Linked DNA regions of Coturnix japonica. The protein of the gene in region 4 interacts with the protein of the main gene of each other region in a biochemical or structural test. Links are inferred from orthologs where the notes say so. Each region holds a gene or a part of one and is shown on either strand. Other genes may lie near its edges.

Evidence for each region. The genes of interacting proteins can lie anywhere in the genome.
Region 1: of the proteins of JUN (region 4) and MAPK9, one has a biochemical effect on the other in vitro, tested with the Homo sapiens proteins (17 studies listed by BioGRID and IntAct, with this or other methods). The link is inferred for Coturnix japonica from reciprocal best matches to the Homo sapiens genes JUN and MAPK9.
Region 2: the proteins of JUN (region 4) and ETS1 form a complex in vitro, tested with the Homo sapiens proteins (2 studies listed by BioGRID). The link is inferred for Coturnix japonica from reciprocal best matches to the Homo sapiens genes JUN and ETS1.
Region 3: the proteins of JUN (region 4) and ATF3 form a complex in vitro, tested with the Homo sapiens proteins (2 studies listed by BioGRID and IntAct, with this or other methods). The link is inferred for Coturnix japonica from reciprocal best matches to the Homo sapiens genes JUN and ATF3.

What each region holds. Positions count from the first base shown.
Region 1 is NC_029528.1:4,156,489-4,162,701, reverse strand, and holds the start of MAPK9 (mitogen-activated protein kinase 9), read left to right. Parts: upstream 1-1,949; 5' UTR 1,950-2,063; intron 2,064-2,298; exon of another isoform or gene 2,299-2,723; intron 2,724-5,660; 5' UTR 5,661-5,713; coding exon 5,714-5,835; intron 5,836-6,213. Other genes in the region: GFPT2 (glutamine--fructose-6-phosphate aminotransferase [isomerizing] 2), read left to right, coding at 577-621. UniProt on the Homo sapiens protein: Serine/threonine-protein kinase involved in various processes such as cell proliferation, differentiation, migration, transformation and programmed cell death.
Region 2 is NC_029539.1:785,688-791,897, reverse strand, and holds the start of ETS1 (protein C-ets-1), read left to right. Parts: upstream 1-1,946; 5' UTR 1,947-2,068; intron 2,069-6,210. UniProt on the Homo sapiens protein: Transcription factor. Directly controls the expression of cytokine and chemokine genes in a wide variety of different cellular contexts. May control the differentiation, survival and proliferation of lymphoid cells.
Region 3 is NC_029518.1:19,270,712-19,276,819, forward strand, and holds the start of ATF3 (cyclic AMP-dependent transcription factor ATF-3), read right to left. Parts: upstream 4,265-6,108; 5' UTR 4,128-4,264; intron 3,798-4,127; exon of another isoform or gene 3,553-3,797; 5' UTR 3,194-3,552; intron 146-3,193; 5' UTR 142-145; coding exon 1-141.
Region 4 is NC_029523.1:23,597,939-23,603,936, reverse strand, and holds JUN (transcription factor AP-1), read left to right. Parts: upstream 1-2,156; 5' UTR 2,157-2,680; coding exon 2,681-3,625; 3' UTR 3,626-4,250; downstream 4,251-5,998. UniProt on the Homo sapiens protein: Transcription factor that recognizes and binds to the AP-1 consensus motif 5'-TGA[GC]TCA-3'.

The DNA.
Region 1 (6,213 bases), on a different chromosome or scaffold from region 4:
CCTCCTACCAATGTTAAGGCAGATATAAGGTTATACGGCATTTCTAACAAAGAACTAGAATAATTGCTGCGACTGGTACTTAGTGTAGTAGTAGAGGTGGCATTTCACTGCCAATTCTTCAGCCTTTTCTTGAATTGGTGTGGAAGGTGGTTCTAAAAAATGTAAAGATTGTTTGCTTAGTTTGATTTGTGAAGAATGCAGATAATATTATTCCGGAAGCTAAGCATTGAAGTGTGACATTGCACTCTAACAGAGGACAGTTTATTACTTTTTATGGCTTAGTTTGTTGACTCTGTCTAGGTGTGTCAGTTTGGTAATGATGACCCCATTGGAAAGGCATCCTATGCAAAACAATATATTCAGATTTGTTGGGAGGTTTTTGCAAGTAAGGATGCATTCAACAGTGAGTTATGTACAGATCCGTACTCTTTTGTGTGCATTAGCGAGTCCAGAATAAAGCAGAACTCAGTAGCAATCCTTTTCTAAATAAGCAAAAAACACCAAACCAAAACAGCACAAAAGCAAGAATGCCAGTTGTGTTCTGTCACGCACTGAAAGCCTGTCTTTTCATTCTAGGTGGATTTTCCAAGGAATCTGGCCAAATCGGTTACTGTAGAATAACAGCCAAGAACAGTGGATATTTTTGTTACCAGACTCTGTTATGCTTGTGGAAATGTGTTGTTCTGAATCAATAGGTACACGTTTTTCAAAGGGAATGAGAGTGATAACTGGCAGGTGTCAGAAGGATTTACCTTGCAGCTTTAAAAGCTTCCAATGTGCCTTGTTACCCAAGTGCTTTTGCTCACAGCAAATGTTTCTAAGTCCCAAAATTGCCAAAGGATAAGATAAAAATCATTGTTTACACATGATATACTGAATGAACTTTTCTACTGTGCAATATATATATATATACAGCTCTCTTCAGAGTAACTGTGAACGTTTTTTTTTTAGCCTACACTACTTAACTAGTTTTAAAGATAAAGTATTTATAAGTACAACTGTATAGCTTTTCTTAAGTTATTTTTTTAGTATGTTGCTTATCGATAGCATTGGTAATAATGAGCTGACATGCTCAGCGCTCATGGCAAGTTTGTGTACAGTTTTATAGGGGTTTTTCTACTACATCCTCAAACTGGAAATAGGTTCTTCTCTTCCTCCCATCTTCCTACCCCCCTCTCCTATGGTTTACACCTGGTTTGTATTTCACCACCTTTTGCAAAGAGTTCCTGTGGCTGTCAATTCTCAGCTGTGTTTTAGCTCCTCCTCCTGCTTTCAGCTGTAACACCATGAGAAGGCCCAGCAGCGTTTTGTATCTCATTGCCTGCTTTGTACAGGGCAATTAAATAAGGGAACTGCCAAAATAAGGGTACCTTCCAAAAGGTGCTTATGATTGAAGTGTGTACAATGTAATTAATATGCAATTAAAGAAAATATTATACAGATTCTTCTTGTCTTGGGGCTTTTCTTTTCCTTCCCCTTAGTCATTTGTATGCACCAATGCTCTGACACCAGAAGGAGGAGGGCTGTTGTGTTATGTCAAGAACTGAACATCACCATATAAGAAAACACACGTGTGGCACGTATGTTTGGTAAAGAGCACTATGGGTGTATTTGAATAAATGCTCCTGTTTTGCTGTGCTGGAGAGACAGTCCCACCTACAGTCCCACTTTGGTGCCACCGCTGCCCTGTGGTGACGTCAGAAGCGCGGTGACAAGCTGACGTGTGGTGATGACATCACGCCGGAGGGCCGAGACCGCGCCTGGATTGGTTGAGCCTGCCCGCTCCCACTGCGGTCCTTCCCCGCTGCCCTGCCTTATATAGCGCCAGCTCTGTCCCGCCTCCAGCCTGCCATTGGCTGAGCATCGCGGTATGGGCTCGCGATTGGTCAGAGTTGCTGTCCGTCAGCGCGCTGAGGCCTGGCGCGGCCTGCGCGGAGCACCGGGAGGCCATTGTGGCTGTGGCGGCCCTGCGCGCCGGAGGAGCTGCAGGCGGCGGCGGAGGTGGCTGCGCGGCTCGCGAGCGCCGCGCCCCGTCCCGCTGGAGCCTGACCGGGAGAGAGACGGTGAGGGAGGCCGCGAGGAGGGCGGTGCGGGCGGCGGGGCCGGAGCCGGAGCTCCCCGATCTGAGCCGAGCCCCCCGGCCCTGTGCCGAGAGGACTCCCTGGCTCTTCCCGCGGGCCCCGCCCGCCGAGGCGCAGCCGGGGTTGGGCCGGGCTTCCCCGCGTGTCGCTGACCCGGGCCCGGCCCTGCGGAGCGGGGAAGGAGGCGGAGGGGCCGAGCTGGGGGCCCCTTCCTTCTTGTCGGCCGTGCAGTGCCCCTCGCCCTTCCCGTGCCGCATCGCTGCCCCTGCCCTCAGCGCCCCGTGCCGGCCCTGGCAGCGCTCGGTGCTGGCGGGGCGGGGGCCGCGCTGTGCTGCTCCGCGACGGAAACCGCACGAGTGAAGGAATCCCGTGAGCTCGCTGGGCTCTACGGCTGCTCCGTGATTTCACAGCGCAATAATTGCACGGCACACACACGTTTGAACTTTTCCCCTCCGTCTCCCGGCCGAGGTGCAGCCAGTATTTGCTTTCGGCGTTTGTTTAGCAGCTAAATGACAGCGGGGCTGGTGGCTGTCGGTGTGATCTGCTCACTAATAGCTTCGGCCGGTTAAAGACAGAGGTGCTTCTCAGAGAACTGAGCGGATAAAGCCAGTATTGGTTAATTTGCAGAGTACGTTTGTAAAGGTGAATATTCAGTGTGGTTTCCCTATCTTTTCATACTCCGTGTGTGTGTGTGTGCTCCGTGGGTTCTTTCTGTCTCCAGTGCAGTTTAGCCTGAAGTTCAGTTTCTTGATGTTCATCGTGATAACATTTCTGTATCCAAAACAGCGCAGGGAATGTTCCTAGCTGTTCCAACCTGTTTGCTTCAGAAGCTTTTGACGTGGAAAATATCCAGGGAATGGATCTGGTTAATAATAAGTTGCCATTTTAATAGGTGCCTTTTGCAGAGGTGACTGGTGCAGTGTGTACATACACTGTAGTGCGGTTGCTTCCAACCCCTAAATACTTCCTTGCTGCAGTTCTGTATGACAGCTGATACATTCATTGGGGGTAGGTTTGGTGTGTCTGTTTTCCTCTTTTTGATTGTTTTACTCTGCATGAACTGAGGCTGAACACCACTTTTGTAAGCGCTTGTGATCTCTATGCATAGAGTAAAATCAGCTTTGTGCTTTTTAGTTTTTCTGGTTGTATGAGCCCATTATTAAAACAGACACAGAAACCTGCACCCAATTTATCTGCCTCTCATGCGTGCTCAAAAATAGGAAAATTATCTTGAAGCACCGTAATTGAGTGCCCTTATCAATATGCAGAAGTATGTTTGCTGACTGTCCCATGAATGAATGACTCCCATGTCTGGCACTGCTCCTGTCTGCTGCAGCTCGGAAGCCATGAATGAAAATGTGCATTTCCTACATGGAAGTAATGCCAACTTCTCAAAGGATTCCTGCATGGGAGATGTGTGGGATGCATTATGTACCTGCTAAGGGGAGCAATGAATCAGATGGTCTCGGGTAGCAGTGTAACAGTTGGGGTTTAATAAACTTACTTGTCAGATGTACTTTTCCCTGTTGATGGGCAACCTTATTCAGTGGGTTTAGCCCCCAAATAGACACTGAGACTTAAATTATGTCAATACTTACAGTCTCGTGGCATTTAGTTTTGCATTAGTTTGTATATCTGAAGTAACCTGAGTCCTAACCAAGCAGCGTGCAGCCCATAGCATAGGGCTCAGAGAGGGGCTTGGTGCTCAGCACAGTGAGCTCCAGAGGATGTCAGAATACATAGAGCTTGTGTGTTGTGATTCACAAATCCCTCTTTGGGTCTTATCTAAAGAGCTTATCCTGGTCTTTAAACTGTTTTTCCAAGTGATGACTTTGTACAGATGAGATTTCTTACAGTGAGGTTTCTTTGGATCAGGATCACTTCCTTTTCCCTCTGCTTCTTTCTTTCAATGATCTTCATTAACCCATAAAGGAGTACCAGCATAGATCCCACATAACTAACAGGCCTAATTTGATTTCCAGAGTAATCCACATCTGCACTGTTTTCCCCCTCTTTAAGCCCTTTTCAGAGAGAGAATCTTGGCCTTTTCCTTAGTCTTGTCTTTCCAGCTGTGTCTGTGTTCCAGCATTTGGAGATATACAGAAAATACCAGGGCTGATCGGGGGTTGTTAATCAAAAACTGTGGTGCATCAGTGTCTATAGCTCTGGAATGATAAAAGACAGGAAGAGTGGGTTCATTCCTTACTGTCTAATAGCAGCTAGAGATGACCAGATTGAGTATTTACTTGAGAGAGGCCCATATTCTAATTCCTGAAGCTGCTAGAAGCTGCTCATGTAGCCCTGTGCCCTTCCAGGATGTGCTTCTGAGTTGCTGTCGAGGCTCTTCTGCTTTGCATGGGCTCTCCACTGTTCTGTAGACTGGTGAAGAGGGAGAGAATAACTGCTCTCTCTTTAGCTACAAGTGATGTAGCACAGCTGGGTGGTTAGGCCAGCTGCTTATAGGGGAGGTGATCTGCTTTCATTTCCTGTTTCGGGGAACTCTTGGCTTTGTAGTTTAGTCTGGGCTGTAATGGCATTACCTATTATGTTGCATGTGAAATTATGTGTGTCCACTACCTCAGTCTCAGGTGTAATTACCTACATCTAATTAATTACAGACAGATTTTAGTGTAGCACCAACATCTAGAGAGGGAGAGCCCATAACTTCCTTAGGGAATCTTGTCGAGCACCACACCTCTTCTACCTTTGCAAAGCAGGCTTTGTTTCTCCTTCTTCCCTTTCCTTCATATCTTCTAAAATGTCTAACCAGAATCTTTGTGCTCATCACCACATCCATTGTGTTCATACATTATTTCATTCCTCCTTTCTTTGGTCTTTTGTGCACTTCCTCCTCTAGTCTGTTTCTCATAAGTAACCCAGTTAACGAGATGTCCTTTCCCCTTGCTCCTTGCTGCCCTCTGGACTCTCAGAAAGTCCAGTTGCAGCTTTGAGAGCAAGGCAGATGAGAGGCAAACTGCAGTGTAACTTCCTGAATGGAATTGCTTTTTGCCTGCTGTTTGTTTTTGCCTTCATTAAAGGGGATTGTTAACATTCAAACAAAGCAGTCCTCAATCATCGTAATGCATTTGGGATAAAACTAACTGTTACAGTGTGGCTGGGTCTTTCAAGCTGTAGTACCAACTCCCTTAATTCTTGTAGGACTTGAAGTACACTAACTGATGGCATGGATGTCAATGTGTATTAAAGACGGGAGGAAGGAGTGCGGTGGTGATAGCAGTAACTCAGGGTTACGGAAGTTGGCTGAGTGCTGGAGTCTCCTACGAGGAGGAGAGAGTTGTTGCCTGAGGGTGTTGTTTGCTTTCACAATTGTTTACTTAGCTGCTTTTTGTGTTGGGGCTTGGAATGAGATGTTTGCTTACAGCTGGGAAAGGTGTGGTTATTTGTTGTCTCATCTGCAGGGGTTTTTCATTAGCAGTAGTTGTAAGTGAAGCTGAAATAATGCTTATCTAATAGTATGCTATTAAAAAATTCATATGTGTTAAAATATGCATAATCTATCTTCCATCTTGTCTGCCTGGAATTACTCAAATTGTACATTTGTTTTCTTTTTTCTTTAAGATCTTGAAGCCTGTACCAGGTCCTTGAGAGAGAAAACTACATGACACTACACCATGAGTGACAGTAAATGCGATAGTCAGTTTTACAGTGTTCAAGTTGCAGATTCAACATTCACTGTACTAAAACGTTACCAGCAATTGAAGCCCATAGGATCGGGGGCACAGGGCATTGTTTGGTGAGTAATAAACATTTTATTTAAACATAAAAAGCTCTAAATGCGTAACAAAATATGAATGTGTTCCTGATAGGGGTGCCAGGGTGTCCAGTATTATCAAAATCGATGAGCTTTGTTTCTTGCTACAGGGTTGTGAGGGACTAAATAGTTTCTAAAATACCTGCCTGCAGTAGTTCGTGTGGGGAACTAGCTTTTGTTTTGATTTTAGGGGAAAAGTAATGTTTGGATAACATCATAAATGAAGAGGGTCAACACATTTCCTTCTCATTAACCACTTTATTTTTGTTTTAGTTCTCACCTTCCCCATGTAGTTATGCTATTACAGTGTAAGGTATGACAATGAGATGGTGAGAGATTCTGAGTTTTACTCGTTTCTTC
Region 2 (6,210 bases), on a different chromosome or scaffold from region 4:
CTTTCTTTCTTTTTTTTTTTTTTTATGAGTACAAAGAAAATCCAAACCATCTGGAATGGAAACTACTTCTTTATGCACTATGGCTTTATCAGCTGAATGAGCTGCCCTAAATTTAACCCAACTTCTTGCTGCTGGCTGAAGCAATGGATTCGGGTGGCTGAAGCAGTAGTAACCCCCAAACCAGGCGACCGTGTGCAAGCAGTACCTTTACCAAGAGAGGTGACCTGCACACAGCAGAGCTCAAACCAGAAGCCTCTCCATTTTGCAGACACACAGTCGACTGGACAGCCATAACGCAGAGGCTATTAATACATAGATTACTGTATTGGAAAAGCTCTCTGCTGCAGAGCACATCATCCAGCTTAGGGAAAGAAAGACATCTTGCTCACAGATGCCCGCAGGGTTATCCTGCAGCCTTGGGAAGAGTTGCCCAGATAAAAATTGATTGCTGGATGCATTCCACTCCTTTGGCGCTCAGACGTGACCGAGTCTTTGTACCAAAGCCCAGCAGGCTGGAAACCTTCCTGAGAAGATGGAGCCCTGTAAATAATTTCCTGAGTTAAAATAGCTACACAAGAGATCCGTGCCTTATGGCTGCGAGTTCAACAGGTAACGTGTACTCATGGCACCTGCAGCTCTGTGCAGGCAAGGCAAGTGAGTGAAGGCAAGGGCTGACACAGAGCTCCATTCTTCTTTTAGGAGATAGTGAAAGTCCTCAAAGGACTGTTTCATACCTTTTATGTGCCTCAATATCAGTGTTTGTGGGGGAATTTTGGAGGGCTATTTGTCACTATGTGCGTTTGAGAGACCAGGTTCTGCTGGGCTGGGAGGTGAGGGGCAGGAGGGTCCTTCATGCACCACAGCTCTGCACATTTGATTTCACTGTGGGGCATTTGGCAGCATTAGATGCCACAGAAGCCTGTGCAGGCAGGAATTACGTGTCTGATATCGTACAGTTTCAGTCTATGCTTTTCAAATAGCCACTCAGCTGCGAGTAACCAAAATGCCAGGTTATGAACTGGGAGAGTTCTTTCTTTCCCTGGGATGAGCAATGCTTCTCCCCCCCCTTCCAGCCATAGCACTTAGATACGCACACTGCATTTTTGCTTTATTGTGGAGATGCTGCAAACCTTCCAGCAAGCTGACAGCTCCTGCGTGGCAAGGACATGTGCTGGAGTGCAGAGCATTTCCAGCCTGGAGCCCTCTCCTGGAGGAAAAGGCAGCTTTGCAACATGGGCACATCCTCCTGCATTCGGTACTGGGTAATGCAGGGCTGTGGGATCCAGAGCTGTTAGGACAGAAAGGAATTTAACCTCACATTTTAAGACTTTATGTGCTCTGGCCTTTGTTTCTGTCCCCATCTCTTTCCATGCTCAGGGAAAGCGTTCCCCTGCTCTTCTAGCAGCCCTGCACACTGCAGCCACCAAGCAGCCCTGCCCTCTGGGGCAAAGCAGCCCATGGTGCCCTAGTGGGGCCTCCAGCAGCAAGGGCTGAGTCAGAGCTGCCTGAGTGCTCTCCCCACTATGGTACCCTACAGAAAGGGAGACTAATGCAGCCTTTGTGATTGTAAAAAGAAAGCAGGCGTGCACCGAGGGGTCTGCAAATGGGCAGTGGGAGCCTGGCAGCTGGATCCTGCCCATGCCTGGGGGAGAGGGTGGCATCCAAAAGCACTGCGGTGTTTGCTGTGCGCAAAGGAGCAGGAAACCCTGAGGTGCCCAGGGGACTTTTGAGGAAGAAATAGCAATTTTGGGCAGCAGTCACCTCAAAGCTGGGGCAGCCCAGAGGAGCTTTGGGAATGAGCTCGATAAAGCTCACACCCCGTGGTGAGGGTCACAGCGTGACATCTGCCAGCGAGAGCGGAGCGCAGGGGGCTCGCCTCCCCACCGCCCGTGCAGGGCTGACCACTCCCCCTCTCTTTGAATAGGCGGCCCTGCTGCAAACACTATGGTATTTCCATCCTCCCCAGCTCCGGCGCAGAGGATAGCACCAGGTAGTTGGAGAGAGACCGGAGACAAGTGTGGGGAGCCGTGGAGGACATAAGCTTTTTCCTTGGTCTTCCAGATAAGTAGTAAGTGGTGGTGGGGAGAGAGTCGCTTTAAAGGCTGTTGTGGGCTGTAGGTACCTGTGTTCCTTTCTATGATAGATAGAAGGTTTGTTTTGCTGGGGATTTACTCTTTCTCTCCATTCCCAGTTTCACCCAGTGGCTGATTCGTGTGTTTGCTGATAGTTCTGCAGTGCCTTACGAGTGTCTGAGCTGATGCTTCCCTTTATAAGTCCTTTTTAATTTCATATATGGAGTATATCAAGTCGATATGTGTGCTTAGGAGCCTCTTCTAGGTAGCAGGCTGCGCCCTGGCATTCTTACAGCGGGTTACATTTGCAGTTCCTTCTATTTCTTGAGAGGCAGCTTTGGTTGTGGGGTGGGGCTTTGCTTGTGCTCGCTATGGGGCAAGGGACCAGAGAGGTGCCCAGGCCCAGATGTTCCCCCGGCTCCTCCAGCACATCTGGGTGCACAGACAGGGAGAGGGCAGGTTGACCTGCCCCCCCAGACAGGACTGCTTTCTGTCTTTGGAGGGATGCTATGCGAGGTTTGTTGCCTCACCTCCGCATGTTTTCCATGGCAATGGCATCCCCAAAGGGCAGAAAATGCCACAGGTGAGCATTTTGCGTATGTTTGCCTATGGGAGGAATTGGAGTCAGGAGCCTTGAGTGCGGCAGCCACAGCAATGTGCAGCTCTGCTGCTGCTGCTGCTTGGGATGGGCAAAATCCTGCACCCCTCTCACAGCCAAATAGGGGCAGTGGGCACCGTGTGGCCCCAAGCAGTGCAGCCAAGGCCTTCCCCCTTCCCATTATCCTCTAAATCCCCATTTTGCATGCGGTCACTCTCCTGCTATTACAGTTACCATCAACTTCCCATCCTGTGCTGTCAACTGACACCTTTGGGGGCTGTGGGCTGGGTCCGGGGTGGTTTCCTGGTTACAGCCTGTTCGTGCTGCCTCTAATCCAGCTGGGGTTTTGATCTCACCCCTGCCTGTCCTGTAAACAATTTTCTGGTAAGCCAGATATTTAAGGCTACCAAGATGATTGCATCAGGGAATGGCCCCACTCACCCAAGGGGTGTGATTTCCATGGATGTCTGCTGTGTATTTTGTGCACCCAGCACTGGGATTGTTCATGGCCCCTGCCCTGAGCTGCAGGGTGCCATGTGCATCTCCAAACCAGAAAGCAGCCCAGTGCTATCATCACCTTTTTATGCTTAGCACGTGAAGGCACAGAGAATCTCTGGTTTCTCTTAACTTTCTACAGCTGCTGAGTACTTAATGCTTAGTGGGATTTTCAAAACACCAGCAGATTTGGGCAGGCTGGTCCCTTGCATCCTTCCATAGGTCATATGGGGAGTCTGGAGCAAGACACCAAATACAGCTGGGCCTACAATCCCTACCCTTTCCTCCTATGCTTTGCCCTAGCTGAGGATCTGGCCCATGACGCTGCACTGTAGGTCTATTATTTCACAGAGGGAAATACGTGAGTGGAATAACAGATGACCTAATTAACCCCCCCCACCCATTCACATCTTCCTGCTGTTGCAAATAGCAGCTCTGATCTAAGAGGGAGCAGTGTGACTGTCGGCAGCAGCCTCTCTGCTTCAGCATCCCACCTAAACCCTCCCCAGCATGACCAGTGGGTTTGGTGATGCCACGTTCATCCCATTGCAGCCACTGCATGGCGACACAGCAGTGCCTTAGGGCTCAGGTACTCAGCCTCTCACTCTCCCTTTGCCTGTGTGAGCTCAGGCAGTGCATTTAATCTCTTTGAGTATTCACTGAGGATGCAGAAGGGCACTCAGTGCATTTCTCTATCTCCCATGTCTGTGCTATTTACCTCCCTGCCTGGCTTCCCTTCAGTTACCTTTGAGAAGGCTGCAAAGTTTCAAAATCATAATGAATGTAGGAGGTGGCCGATCTGTTAGGAAGCATATTTAGTGCATAGTTGGCAGTGAGATAAATGCAATCCTTCCTACCGCTCGTATCCCCGCATTAGGGATGCTCCTTTTATTTTAAGCTGGTGCCAAGGTCTGATGAATTGAATGGGTTTTTAGCATGCCAAGAGATCAACAAACACTTTTTCCCTTGAGAATTGAATTGGCAAACAGCCTGGAAAGTACCAGGGTTCCAAGGGTTAAAACCTTGTGGAACAAAGTCATTTCCATGAGCTATTTTCTCCACCCCCTCAAAGATGATAAATTATTGCTTGATGAAAAATAAAACGGTATCACTAAGCAACTCTGGGGCAGGAGCTGCCCGCGCCGCAGCCCATGGAGGACGAATGTGTCCTCTGCATTTTTCAAGTCTTTGTTCCCACACTTGTAGTTAGGAACACTTTGATAGGGTTGCTATTGCCGCTCCTGGCTCCCCATCCAACCTCATGGAAAGTGAATCTTGCTGGTTTCTAGGGCTGCAGAAAGCTGTCCAGATGCTGTCCCAGTCATATTGCGGCTGTGCAGGGTGCTAACATGGGAGAGATGGGAGCTTCTGTCTTCTCTGCTGCAGGGAAATCAGTGTGGTCTCACTCAGCTTCCATTTCCCCAGACTTAAAACAACAAAGCACTTAAATGCTGCAAGGCAGCCTTTTGAAGGGTCTTCATATACCCAGTAGATACAGCTCATCTCCATCTAATACCTATTTTAATTCCTTCCTAATTTCTACAAGGGTATGCGTTTATCTTAAGGACAAATCAGTTTTTTCCCTTTTTAAACTAAGTTTAGTAATTACTTTCTTAAAAATTCTCCCGTAAAAGAGCAGGGATGGATGTTGAAATGAAATTAAAATGTTAATTAAGTTTTGAAATGACTGAAGAGTCTAATAGCTTTGGCTGGTACTTGATTAAGCCCCAAAACAAGCTCTGCTTCCCCCACACGTTTTCACCATGAGACAGGAATAATAAGAGCAAACAATGAGATGAATCAAGCTGTTAAGTCATTAAGGATTTTACCAAATGGCTCTGATTCCCCTCTATTTATTAACAGTTTGCAGCAAGCTGCAGATCTCGATTATCTTGGTGTAAATCTGCAGTGATTTCCTCAATTTTGGCCAAGTTACCTGACACAACGGATGCTGTCATTGAACTCAGTTCAGCTGCAAGCTCCTGAGTGGTCATTAAAGCTCTCTAATGGCATCCAAAGGGAGGAGAGGAGCTATTTAGGCTCTTATTAGAGGAAGCTCAACAGAAGAAAAATATGGCTCAACCATCAGGGAAACCTGCTGACAGTGAGAGATGTATTGGGCTGTGAAGCAGCCTCCTGCATGTAGGAGACTTCAACCATAGTGGGTGCTGCTTTGGGTATCAACGTGTGGCACCGCGTTGGAAGGTTTGGTTTGAACAATGCTCAGTGAGGCATGAAAGCAGTTTGTAAGCAGTGTGCAGTGTGGGTGACTCGATCAAAGGGAAACAACAAAGCCAAACCCCAACTGCCTGCTGCAAAGCAGGAAAGCGGGCTGCTCTGCTTGTGGTGCCGCTATGTCACTGCTGTCACCCCTTGCTCTCACACGTGCCCATGTTGCTGAAGCACTTGGGTCATCCTGATGTAGTGTAACCTGATGTTTCTGTAGTGTCTGCCCTGTGCTGGTGCACTTTGGCAACATAGATCCTAACTTCAGAGCACAAGGACAATCAGTCACAGTTAGGTGATGCAGTTGTACCCTTTTAAGGTTAGGAGCGGAGGGACAGGTGTGTAACTGAATGGGGTGGAGTGACTTTCCTTTGTTGGCTGCTTTGTTGGCTGCTCTGCACCCTCTTTTATTCTCCCCAGCTGCAGTGAGATTTAAGACAACGTGTTTTAACGCCTGGTAGGGCAGGCTGGGAGGGTGTGCTCTGATGCTAAGATCAGTTAAGGCTTCTCAGCCACAGTAACTTGCAAGACGTGTGCGTTTAGGTTCGCTTTTAGCACAAGGAGAAGCAGATCCGTTGTTCTTTCAGCACGTTGGTAGTTTTCAGTTTTGTGAATTAAAAAGAGAAGTAAGAAACAATAATAATCCTGGTGTTAGAGCAAAAGTTAGTAATAACAAGCAGGAAATGATGATAATAATTTAATACACATATACATGCAGGTGTTCCACATTTGGCCATTAGTCACACCGTGTGGTGGGAGACGTTATCTGCAGTCCCTGGTTGCTGAGGTGCTGAGTGAGGCACAGCTGGGGCAGGCTCT
Region 3 (6,108 bases), on a different chromosome or scaffold from region 4:
GAATCTAAGTTCCTCTTTCACCAGTGGGGTTAAATTTGTGAAATCATCAAACCCCAGTGACCCTGCGGGGGACAAAGTGGGAACAATTGCGGAGGCGCTGACTTCTAATGCAGACACCTGGCCGGTGTGTTGGACCATCATTTTGCTGAAAAGCAAAAAGAGACAGGAATAGCCTTTCAGCAGCTGTACAGAGGCAGATAACATCTACTAGAGGTCGATTTCATACTGTGAAATAATATATTTATTGCATTGCTTCAGCCCACATTCACTTCATACCTCACGAGAAACAGTTCAGAATTTGATCACTAGTAAAAACTTTCACATCAGGCTCACCTCAAGGCAGCGTTTTAAAACAATAACAAAAAACAGTAACCAAAGAATTATTATTATTATTTAATACCCAGAAGTATCTCCATCTTCACAGCTACCCCACCACAAAATCACAGCTTGAAATGGACGAAGCACAGCTTCATCTCAACTACACTTCAGTAAAGATTAAAGTTTTAGAGAAGCTGAATTTTGCTAACCAAGACAGGATCAGCTACAGAATGCTCACCACATTCAGCTTTACAAGCAGACAGAAAAATGTGTCTCGTAATAAACTCCTGAAAAGCAGTTCACAATCAGAGCTGTTGGAAAGGTGGAAATCTACTCATGCTCTGGAGCTTTGAGGCACAAACTGGGATAGAGGGAAGGAGTAATGAAAAACGTAATGCCAATTCCTCCCTTTTCGCTCGTAAAATCCAAAACTGTCCTCACGTGCCCTCAACAACAAGTTTTTAATTCTTCAGTGTTTATGGCCAGATCTCCTGCGGATATAAAGCTGTGTAATCAAAGAGACTTTGGCTGAGACTTTGGTTAATGGGGCACCCACGGAGGAACTTCATTTCTAGCAGTTTTCCAACAAAAAGAAACTGATCTAGCAGTGGTCTCTGCTTTCCCCTTTTTAGCCACCCTCAGTCTTTTAGCCAATTTTGGAAGAGGTGCCCTACATGTGTACAGCTTAGTGAAAAGTGGTAACCCCACTAAGGGAGAAACGCACAAAACTCAGCAGTCAGCCAGCCAAACACCATGGGCAACCCAGTATGAACCACCCATCCCTCAGCAGAGGCGAGAGAAGAGGTCTGGAAGAAAGCTGAGCATTTTGTGTGGCCAGCCCACAGGACAAGAGGTGCAAATCCATGGGAAAATAGATTGTATTACCTCCTCTAATCATAAAGCAACTTTTGTGCATTGGATTTTGCTGTATTGCTTTTCCTGCTTTCCTTATTGTGGAGGTTTTTGAGATGTTTGTTGTCTTGGATTCCCTTGGTAATGACACGACACGTAATCTATTCCTGTTTAAAGTTGTAATGATAGCAAAGTCGTTGTAATTAACGTAGTGCAGGTAAGCAAATAGTTGCCTTGGGACAGCAGTGTGGGTAAGTTAAATTTCCACGTGGACAACCCCAATTGTGCAGTTCCCTGTTTGCTACTGCTGTGACATGGCAAGAAGTGGTTGGGGTCACGTGCCTTGACAAGAAGATAGATTTCGCTCAGAGATATCTAAAAATATACTGTAAATCCACATCGGTGCAAATTGGAGTAGAACCCAGCTCCTCACTAAGCGAGGTAAACACAAAAATCCAAGGGCAGTGAACTGCCAGCAGGTAGAAAACCACTTGTCCAGCTGCAGAGGTTTCCTCACTTTGAGTCTCAATGACCACAAAAGAGCCAAAGATTTCCCACATCCCAGGGGTGAAACGCTGAAACCACTGAAATCAAAAGGAGTTTTGCTGTTGACCTCAGTGGGGCCAGGATTTCACCCTTGGTTGTTAAATATGAGGAAATAATTAGGAACAATTTGTTATTCAGAAAGACCTTGGGAAATTTATGTAATTCTCTTCAGAAAGCCCCTGCTCATGAGTCACATTTAAAGTGCCGATACATTTTAATACTATAATCTCAGAAAGCCACCAGTTACTTTTTTCCCCCCGAGTCAGAAAGGCCCTGTGATTTCCAGCTGAACTGCTGGCATTATTTAGCACTTCCCAACACTCAGCCGTTCAGCTCACTGAAGCAGCCAGACTCCGTGACACTGAGCCCCCACTGTTCACACAATTTGGAGCTGTGCTCCCTGACCGTCGGTCTGCTCCTCTCCTGCTGCTGCCTTCATTCAAAACACTTAATTCCATATAACTCAATCAAACCAGGAGATTTCAATTAACAATAAAACCATTTCTCCAGCACATGGAATAATTAATTGGGCCAAGCATTTCTCAGCATGGTGGGAGGGTGGAGGGGGGGGAGGTTATTCGTTTATATTTCAGTTTAGGTCAACTTTAATTAAAGTCAGCGCCAGAGGAAACGAAGAATGCCCGTGTTTTAGTAACGTGCCTGAGAGTTGCTCTTATCTACCAGGCAGTGCTATTCCTACAAGAGCTAAGTGCACCACGACCCCCAGTGCAACCCTACTGTAATGTCCTCAGGTATCTATTGATCCACTTTCAGTTTATAAAAACATGGAAGGGAGGCTGTCACTGGGAAGGGAAGCCCAGAAAGAGCAGTGCCCTTGTCTGCACGAATCGTTGACCTCCCAGGCACCCTGACAGCGTCTCCCTTTACCCATACTTTGGAGCGGGGGCCCTGCCAGAGGCCAGGCAGGCTGGAGGGGTCCTGTCCCCAGCCCACCACAGCTGGCAGGGCTCCTTGCCCCACGCTGACTCTCCAGCGGGGCTGGGGCCGGTACATGGCATGGCAGGATTCCTTCCAGTGCACGGCTTTGGTGGTCGGGAGTGACAGGGATGTCAAAAATAATTAGCCTGTGCTGAAGCCAATAGTAAGCCAAACAGATTGGCTTTCCATAACAAAAGGTAGATGTTTTCCAGTTTCTGAGGAACAGATCTACTTTTAGAAATGCGTTATGAGGATGGAGATTAGATTTTCCTAATAAACATAAACCGCAGCAGTTTGCCCTTTCTTCTCCCAACTTCTGCACAAATTGTTCCTCTGTCTGTCAGCTTTCAAGAGTGTCATGCCGCTCTTCCCTAGGTCTGCACAGCAATAGGGATATCTAGCCTCAAATTGCAGTTACATCTGGGCTTCCTGATCCTATCTGTTTACTTCATTAGACCGTGCACATGGATGGCAGCTCCGGTCTATTTTGAGGACTTCTGAAGTTACTGGAACTGAAGGTGTCGAACATTTCACAGACCTGACCCATAAAGGCACAGCTTGCTCCCGCTGCGAGCTCACGCTTCTTTACTTTATTCTTAGTTTGGCAATTCCCCGGGGAACATTTCTGCTATTGCTGGTACCTTCGGCTTCAGGTAGATTCAATCAAGTCTGCTCCCGTCACTATGCTTTGTTTGTTCTTTTCTCAGCGGCTCTTTTCATCCTCACCAAATCTACCCATCTCCTCTGCCGATGTTTTCGCTTCGGCACACGATTCCTAGCCGTGCACTTCTGTTAGTTATGCGTATTCCCGAACGACTTCTCGGAGTCTTTCCGCTCGGCTGCTGACGGCTGACCTCTCGGTTTTGCTTCTTCTCATGAATTCCTTCTCCTCTGGTGCTGATGCAACAAACGCCGATAACCATTGAGGTTAATCTTAAACAGCATTAAGGGCAATTACAGTTCACAACCTCCGTGCACGCCGGTTGACCTTAAGCTTTCTGACATCCCACATCACTCCCGAACCACTTTCCGCCGGCATCCACCCGCTCAAAAGCCAGAAGAACCCATTTCGAACGGGAAGCTACTTCTCTCTAACAACTTTTCTATCGAGCCACGCCTGCCTCGCTTAGGCGAGACTTCAGCAGCCGGTCTCCGTGTCGGACATCGGCACAGAGAAAGAACCGCGCGAGTCCCTACCGCTTTTCCTCCCGGTGGTGCGGGCTGCCCGGCGCCCCGCAGCCGCTCCTCGGCGCCCCGTTGGCGGTCGGAGCGGCGGTCGGAGCGGCAGCGCGGGCGGTCACGGCCGGCATCCCCCCGGCGCCGAGCCCCGCGCTGCCCGCCCCCGCGAGGCGCCGAGCGGCACGGCCGGCCCGGGGCAGCCGCTCGGGACTCCGCTCCCGCCGCACCCCGGGAGCGGGCTCCTCCGCTTTGCCGGCTCGTCCCTCTCCCCGGAGCCGTCCCGCGGTTCCTACCTTGGATCCGCCGCCGGCCGGGGCTGTTCGCCGGCCCCGCCGCGCCCGCTCTTCCTCCCGTGCCCGCTCCGCCGGCGGGAGAGCAGCGCCCGCTCGCGCTCCCCGCGCCTCTGCCTCTCGCCGCGGTTGCATCACCCCCCTTATATAGCCGAGCGGGTAGAGCTGGTATTTACTCTGGCGGCGAGTCCCGGGCTGATGTCATGCTATTAATAGCTCCCGGAGGGCGGGCGGCCGGGCGGGGGGGCAGCGGGGCCCGAGGCGGTGATGCAAGGCTTTCCCATTGCACGGAGGGCGGGGCGGCGCGGCCTCGCTCTCCATAACAGGAGCTCACCGAGCCGGGCCGGGCCGCCGGGACCCCGCGGGACCCCCTCCCCCAAGCGGCGGAGCGCCCCGTGCCGGCAGCGACCCGCGGGACGGCAGCGCCCGGCACCCGGCACCCGGCACGGGGCCGTCCTCCCACGGCGCTTTCTTTTCCCCTTCCCTTTTTTGTTTTTTTTTTTTTCTTCTTCTTTTTAACAGACTTCAGGGGGCGTCCCGACTTCTCAGGCGTGCGGGACTTAGCCGTGCTGCTTTATCATAAATCAGAGTCCTTCTCACGGCTCGGAGACGGTCAAACTAAGTGAAGGCAGCGCGGCTTTCGAAAGGACTAGAAAACGGGAGCCCTTTTCGCCCCCAAACTGTTGAACGCCCCCTCCCGAAAAAAGCCGAACCACCCCGCGCTCGCTCCGTGCCGCTCCAGCTGACGGCCCGAAACGCTTCCCCGTATCGGGGCGGGGGGCTTCAGTTCTTAGCCCGAGGAAACGGGGAAGGAGCCGTTTAATTAAATTCCAGAACGCTGAAAATAAATAAATAACTTCTCCCCTTCAAACGGCGCAGCACGCGATGTCGTTCTGGTTTCGGGGATAACCGGAGACTCCCCGTAGGAGGCAGGGGAACGTGTTAGTGGCGGTGGTGAAGGGGTTTTGTTTTGTTCTTTTTTGTTCCCACAGCTTCCTGGTTCGGTAAGTGACAGCAATTGCCTTCCAAAAACGCTAGAAAATAGACGTATCAAAAAAGCACCTATCCGAGAGCGCGAGGCTCGCAGAGATTTGCACAGAGTTATCCAATACGATAATACTCCATCCTCGGTTCATACAGACTTGTTCTCTTTGGGTCTCCCTGCTAAGAACGGGAAGAGCTTGGAGACTCGTTTATTCACTTACAGCACAGACCCCGATCAGCCCTTCAGGCAGTTAATTCATTTTGCAGCGTTCACGGGGCTGCATTTGGTAACGGGTAACACGTCTCGAGTGGGAAAAGCTGGCACATATCGATAGCTTAGAGCATTTAACCGAGGACACGGATTTCTAACATTAGTCTGAGCCCGTCCGTACCTCACCTCTGTGCGCTGTGTCCACACGGGTGTATGTGTGCATACATCAACTCACACGCTGACCACCCAGATGGGAAGCGTACTCTCAGCTTTTGAAATGTCACCGTGCTAGCACGCTCAGCTCTGCAAACACAGCGTTCCTATTTCAAATTTAATTGCCTGCCTTGGGGGGGAAAAAAGAAAAGCAGGCAGGTCGGTGCTGCTGGCTCTCCTCCTGCACAAGGTGCGGCTGCTGGTGCTCCCCAATGGTTCGGTGCACTCTGCTGGCACAGGAGCCAGCCCTGACCCACCTGGCAGCTGCTCCTGCTGGAGGCTCAGGCGCTCACCTAGCGATAAATCAAGCCGAGTTCTTTCAAAACACGGTTATTTCTTAATCTAGGTAAATCAGAGTCAGAAATAACGCCAGGCAAAGGCTTTGCTCTTCACAGGGCTTGTCATTTCAGCTGGGCGCGCTCTGAGGAGCTGACGCTACTTCAGAGGCATAATGTTATAATACATGCCGTGTTCAGAAACAGCTGGCATCGTTTTTCTCAAGCCTAGAAGAAAAAAAAAAATAAAAAATCCCTCTCAAACAGAGGCCAAATGTGGAAAATGTGTCTTCCCAAAAGA
Region 4 (5,998 bases):
GATATACAGACTGAATGTGGCTTTCTAGGATAAAACAGATGGACGACACTCCGACAAATTAAATATGTCAACAGTTAATTGGAACAACCTTTGTCAGGGTTATTTGTTTATACAGAAAACTGACTAAAGGAAAAGTCTTGTAACGGCTTCCTACGCAACAAAAACCACACGTATAAAAACCTTTAGGTTTAAAAACCATTTTAAAATAAAAACCTCCAGCAAAACGCTTCAAATTCATGTCTTCCCTTTCTCCAGAATTTCTTCTTTGCATAGACAAGCCCTTTACACGTCTCAAAATGGCGTGCTGACACAACACAGCCGGATCATTTACAGACTAAGTGGGAGTGCGGGCACAGCAAGAACACCAGGACGGCCCCAAGCAGACACCCCGTAGTCGCCAAGGCTGGATACCTGAGGCACATAGAAGCAGGGCACACACGCAGAGGTTTTGCCCTGGGATGCTCCCCCAGACAAGTCATTTGCAGCTTTAGGATTTCCAGAGCCAGAGATCGGCTGCACTCAACAGCCCTTGAGAGATTTCTCTCCTGTGACTTCATCTAATCACTTTTAAATCCTTCCTTCTGCACAGCACCCTCTTGCCAAGGTGTTCCACGGCAAACAGCTCTGCAAAGCAATTTCCCTCATTCATTCTGAGCCCTCCATCTGCCAGTTTTGCTCAGTGTACCTCAACTCCTGTGCCAGGAGTCGGGCTGTGGCCTCTATTTATCTTGTGTGTAAAGCTTAGGATGGAGCTAGGAAGCTGCTTCTAACACAGACGACTTTCAGAGGCTTTCCTATACACATGCAGTAACTGCTGCTGGAGCTACAGAGGCAGCTGGAATTACCTGCACACAGGTGCTCATTGCCTACCTGAAGGCTGTGCACACACCTGCAGCAAACACTAAGGCCCACATTTGTGGGCAAACTAATTCACTTGACTGTTAGCACAAACATGCACAGGTATTGGCTGTGTGATTCCAGCACATGGGTGAAGTGGATACACTGAGTGCAGCCAGGTGTGCACAGCAGGGAGGACCGGGAGATGACTCTATAAAAGGAGCAGTAACTTCTATCAGTCAGTGCATCCAGACATTCACTTTTAATTCACAGCTCTTTTTGATTCTGTTTATTACATTGCTCCCTCCCGTACTTTAAGTGCTAATTATGTTATTACATCTAGAAGAAAAAAAATAGCACTTAAGAGTTTTAAAGTGCATTTTCAAACCGAGACTTAAGTTTGTCAGCTTCGTATGTCACACAAAGCGATGGAGCCCAGCAGCGAAGCAGCAGCGGCAGCACTTGTTGCCCCGGGTTCCCGTCCCGTCCATCAGCCGAGCTGCGAGTCCCCGGTAGCTGTGGAGCAGCACAAACCTCCCTCCCCGACCGGATCCCTCCATCTCCAGCCGTTCCCCTTGGCCAAGCTGCGCTCACACACTAATACCAGCACAGCTCTACAACCGGGAGGACAACTTTAGGAAAACCCATCCAGAGCCAGGCTCCTTCCCGGCAGCTTTTTCCCCTCTCATACTTTGGGGAGCTCCCGGCCCTGGGAACAGACACAGCGCTCACCGCAGCGGCTGAAGGCAGGCGGGGCTGAGGGCAGCCGGGCCGCCCGTCCCCGCCCGCCGGGGCTCCCCGGGACGGGAGGAGACGAGGCCGAGCCGCCCCCACCCCAGCGCCGCCCGCCCTGCGCTGTGCCCCCGTGCGGGGCGGGGGCGGCCCCGGCGCTGTGCGCGCCCGCCCCGGCCCTGCCTGGAAGCGGCGGGGGCAGCGAGGCGGGGAAATCACGTGAGGGCTCCCCCGGAGCGCCACCTTCAGGGCCGTACCAACAACGGGACCGGGGGGGGGGAGGAGGCGGCGATGCGGCGGGACTCAACGCGACGTGGAACGGAGGAGCGCGGCCCGGCCCCGCCGCACGCAGCATCTCGGCCCCGAGCGCAGCACAACGCACGGGCTGAGGGCGCGGGGCGGCTCGGGGCGGCATCGCGGTGCCCCGGTACCCGGTAGGGCAGCGGTTGGTTGGTACGAGGCCGTCGAGCCGCCCAACCCCGCTCGGAGCTCGGGCCGCGGTAACCAGATATTCAAAAACAAGACGTCAGCCCACAATGCCCCGCGCCGCCGGCAGCATTACCTCATCCCACAAGGCCCCGCGCCGGCGCTGAGAAGCTTCTAGGGGCGGGGTGTCCATGGCGACCGGCTGCCATGCACCGCGCCGGGCCAGCGCCACGCCTCCCCCGGGACGGGCGGCGGCAGCCAATGGGGAGCGCGCGGGGTGACATCATGGGCTATTTTTAGCGGGCTCCCGGTCGCTGATAAGTGAAGGGCTGCACGGAGCGAGCGGGCTCAGAGCGGGGCGGGCGGCAGCGAGAATCAGCCGCCACAGCGGGCACGGCCGAGCGGAGCGCGGAGCCGGGAGGTACAAGCGGCAACGGCGGCAGGAGCGGCCCGGCCCGGCACAGCGCGGAGAGGCGGCCCGGGGAGCAGCACAGCGCACAGAGTACAGAGTACAGCGTACAGCGCACAGCGCACAGCGTAGGCCCGGCGGGCCCGGCCCGCGCCGGGAGGAGCGGCGTTGTCCCGGCGAGAAGTAAGGAAGGCTCCGGCTTGCTCTTTCCCCCCAAGCCGCTTGGCCGGGAGCGGTGTGGGGCGGCTCCCGGCGCCACTTTTTGGGCTCTGTTCTATGAGTGCAAAGATGGAGCCTACTTTCTACGAGGATGCACTGAACGCCAGCTTCGCGCCGCCGGAGAGCGGCGGTTATGGATATAATAACGCCAAGGTGCTGAAGCAGAGCATGACGCTGAACCTGTCCGACCCGGCCAGCAGCCTGAAGCCGCACCTGCGGAACAAGAACGCCGACATCCTCACCTCCCCCGACGTGGGGCTGCTGAAATTGGCCTCCCCGGAGCTGGAGCGGCTCATCATCCAGTCCAGCAACGGGTTAATCACCACCACGCCGACCCCGACGCAGTTCCTGTGCCCCAAGAACGTTACCGACGAACAAGAGGGGTTTGCCGAAGGCTTCGTGAGAGCGCTGGCGGAACTGCACAACCAGAACACGCTGCCCAGCGTCACCTCGGCCGCGCAACCTGTTAGCGGTGGCATGGCACCTGTGTCCTCCATGGCCGGCGGCGGCAGCTTCAACACGAGTTTGCACAGCGAGCCCCCGGTGTACGCCAACCTCAGCAACTTCAACCCCAACGCGCTCAATTCCGCACCCAACTACAATGCCAACGGCATGGGCTACGCGCCGCAGCATCACATAAACCCCCAGATGCCAGTGCAGCATCCCAGGCTTCAGGCTCTGAAAGAAGAGCCTCAGACTGTACCTGAAATGCCGGGGGAAACCCCTCCCCTGTCCCCTATTGACATGGAGTCGCAGGAGAGAATCAAAGCCGAGAGAAAACGCATGAGAAACAGAATCGCGGCGTCCAAATGCCGGAAAAGGAAGTTGGAAAGGATTGCCAGGTTGGAAGAAAAAGTGAAAACTTTGAAAGCCCAGAACTCAGAGCTGGCATCCACTGCCAACATGCTCAGAGAACAGGTTGCACAGCTTAAGCAGAAGGTCATGAACCATGTCAACAGCGGGTGCCAGCTAATGCTAACACAACAGTTGCAAACGTTTTGAAGAGACTGACTTCAATAGGAACTGTGATGTTGTGGTATAACTAAACGACAAACCAAAAGCGGCGGACGCGTAAAGCTCACGGTAGAAGCTGGGAGGCTGTGAGTCCTGCCTGCGTGCTGCAAAGCACATGTGTGCAAAGACTGGGCAGCCTTCAGCTCGAGTTGGTGAAGCAGCCGGCACCGCTCCGAGGTGCTGATCCTGCTCCCATGAGGCGACAGATCTTCGTTTAACATTGACCAAGACCTGCATGGACCTAACATTCGATGATCATTCAGTATTAAAGGTTAAACTGCAATAGAAACTGTAGATTGCTTCATGTAGTATTCCTTAAGAAACAAACAAACAAACAAAAAGCGGGAGGGAGGTTTGTGGGAGGCTGATAAACAACCAAGAACTGTTGTTCCTGCCTTCAAGTAAATGGTGTATGTACATATCCTTTTTTATTTTATTTTATGAAAGTTGATTAATGTCAATAAACTACTTCATGACTTTGTAAGTTATTTTTATGTTGTTTATTTGGGTACTGCCCAGTATTGTTTGTAAATAAGAGGCTTTTTTTTAGCACTCTGAGTTTACCATTTGTAATAAAGTATAATTTTTTTAATGTTTCTGTTTCTGGAAAAAATCTAGAAGGTTCTATTATATTTAAAAAAAAATAAAATACTTAAAATGCATTTCCTCCTCACACCTTTTTCATTATTATTATTATTATTATTATTGCTAGTATGTGAGTTAGGAAAATGCCCTTAATGCTGGACTCTAAAGGGCAGGGATTATGTGAAACTCGCTCTGTAAGTGCAGGCATGTCCTGGAGAACGTGTGAGGAGGAGACGGGGGGAACCAGATCCTGAGCACTGAGCAAACAGAACTTTTTGAGTTGTCTGGGAGTTCCAGTTCCTAACCTTAACCTGGGAGGTTATTGTGTGTTGTAGTGGCCCTGCTGGGGCGGCTGACTTTGGCTTTAGGCAGGCTCTAGAGATGGTAGAAAGCCGGTGTGTGAAACTGCTTTGCACTTGTATCTGGCTGCTTGTGCTCTTGCATGCTTTTTATTAAGCCAATGCCCTCGAGCAGGATCAGGCAAGGGGCTGTTTGCTTTCCTTTGCAACAAAAGTGCTCTAGACTTCAAAAGTAGAAATATTCACCTTCGTTCCTATGCAGTCTTTCTGCAGTGAAAGGTGATCCTTGTTAATATCTGAAAATGCTGTTGTCAGTGGAAAAAAACTTTTTATCTCTGAAATCCTTTTGGCTGTTACTGCAGGTTCTGAACTCTTTAGCAATAGGAAAACTGGGAAAACAACGTAGCAGGAAGTGAAAAGACATGAGAGCAACTCTCCTGGCACTTCCCGTGTCTTTTTAATGTAATCTTGTTTCTTAGCACAGCAATGTAAACATCTACTTTAGAGACATGCTGCTCAGCTGGTGGGGGGAATGATTTTGATATGATTCTGATAGCACCCTTCTCAACATGTGGCACCCAATTCATTCTCTTCAATAACTGTGTATATGAGGAGAGAGCAGATGTTCTGTTTGATGCCGATGGCCAAACAGCAAGGAGCAGAAACTATTACAGACTAACTAGAGTGCAATAACATCAGTACGTTTGTAGACAGTCCTGATCCATATTTTAAGGGCAAAAAGGTAGAAGTTTCTCTGCAGTGACTGCCATGTGTAAGGTCACATCACAGAATGACAAGAGCAGACCACTAATGTCAGCATAGCGATACTCTGAAACTTCCAACTGATGTGCATCCAAAGATCAGTTCCTCATAGGAAGCACAGAACTTAGCTTTCTTCTGACTTTTTTTTTCCCTGCCCAAATTGTATGGAGTTAATGACACGAAGGGTTGTCCTGATGTGTAAAATGTGATACTGTGGCAGAATCCTACATCGTAATCCAAGCATGGAGGCCGGTGCTGTTTAGATGCTGTTTGCTGCTGTCAGAGGAATACTCTTGTAACAACACCAACCAAACAAAGGGTTACTAGGAGGATACTGTAGTTTGCCAAGAGCACATTTTGCTGATGTCAGCAACCCGGAAGGTAAGTTGATTTTGACCATATGTAGGAACAGACAGCAGAGGGATAATACACAGCACTGCTGGGTGTGGTTTTACAGGGATTTAAGCAAGTGCCAACTAGCAAAATAAGCAGGGCAAGGAGATTAATTACCTGCAAAGGTGCCTGTTTAACTCTCCATAGTGCTGGGTTATGGAATAGATGTTACTAGCAAGCATTTTGCTTAATCACCTAATTACGCAAAAAATAAATACATTATATAAAATACTATGTTAATTAAACACAGCTGAGTGACAGTCTGCTCCACCCTATGCTAATACATGCACACAGACATTTAGCGCTGCAGTTACAAGTTTTC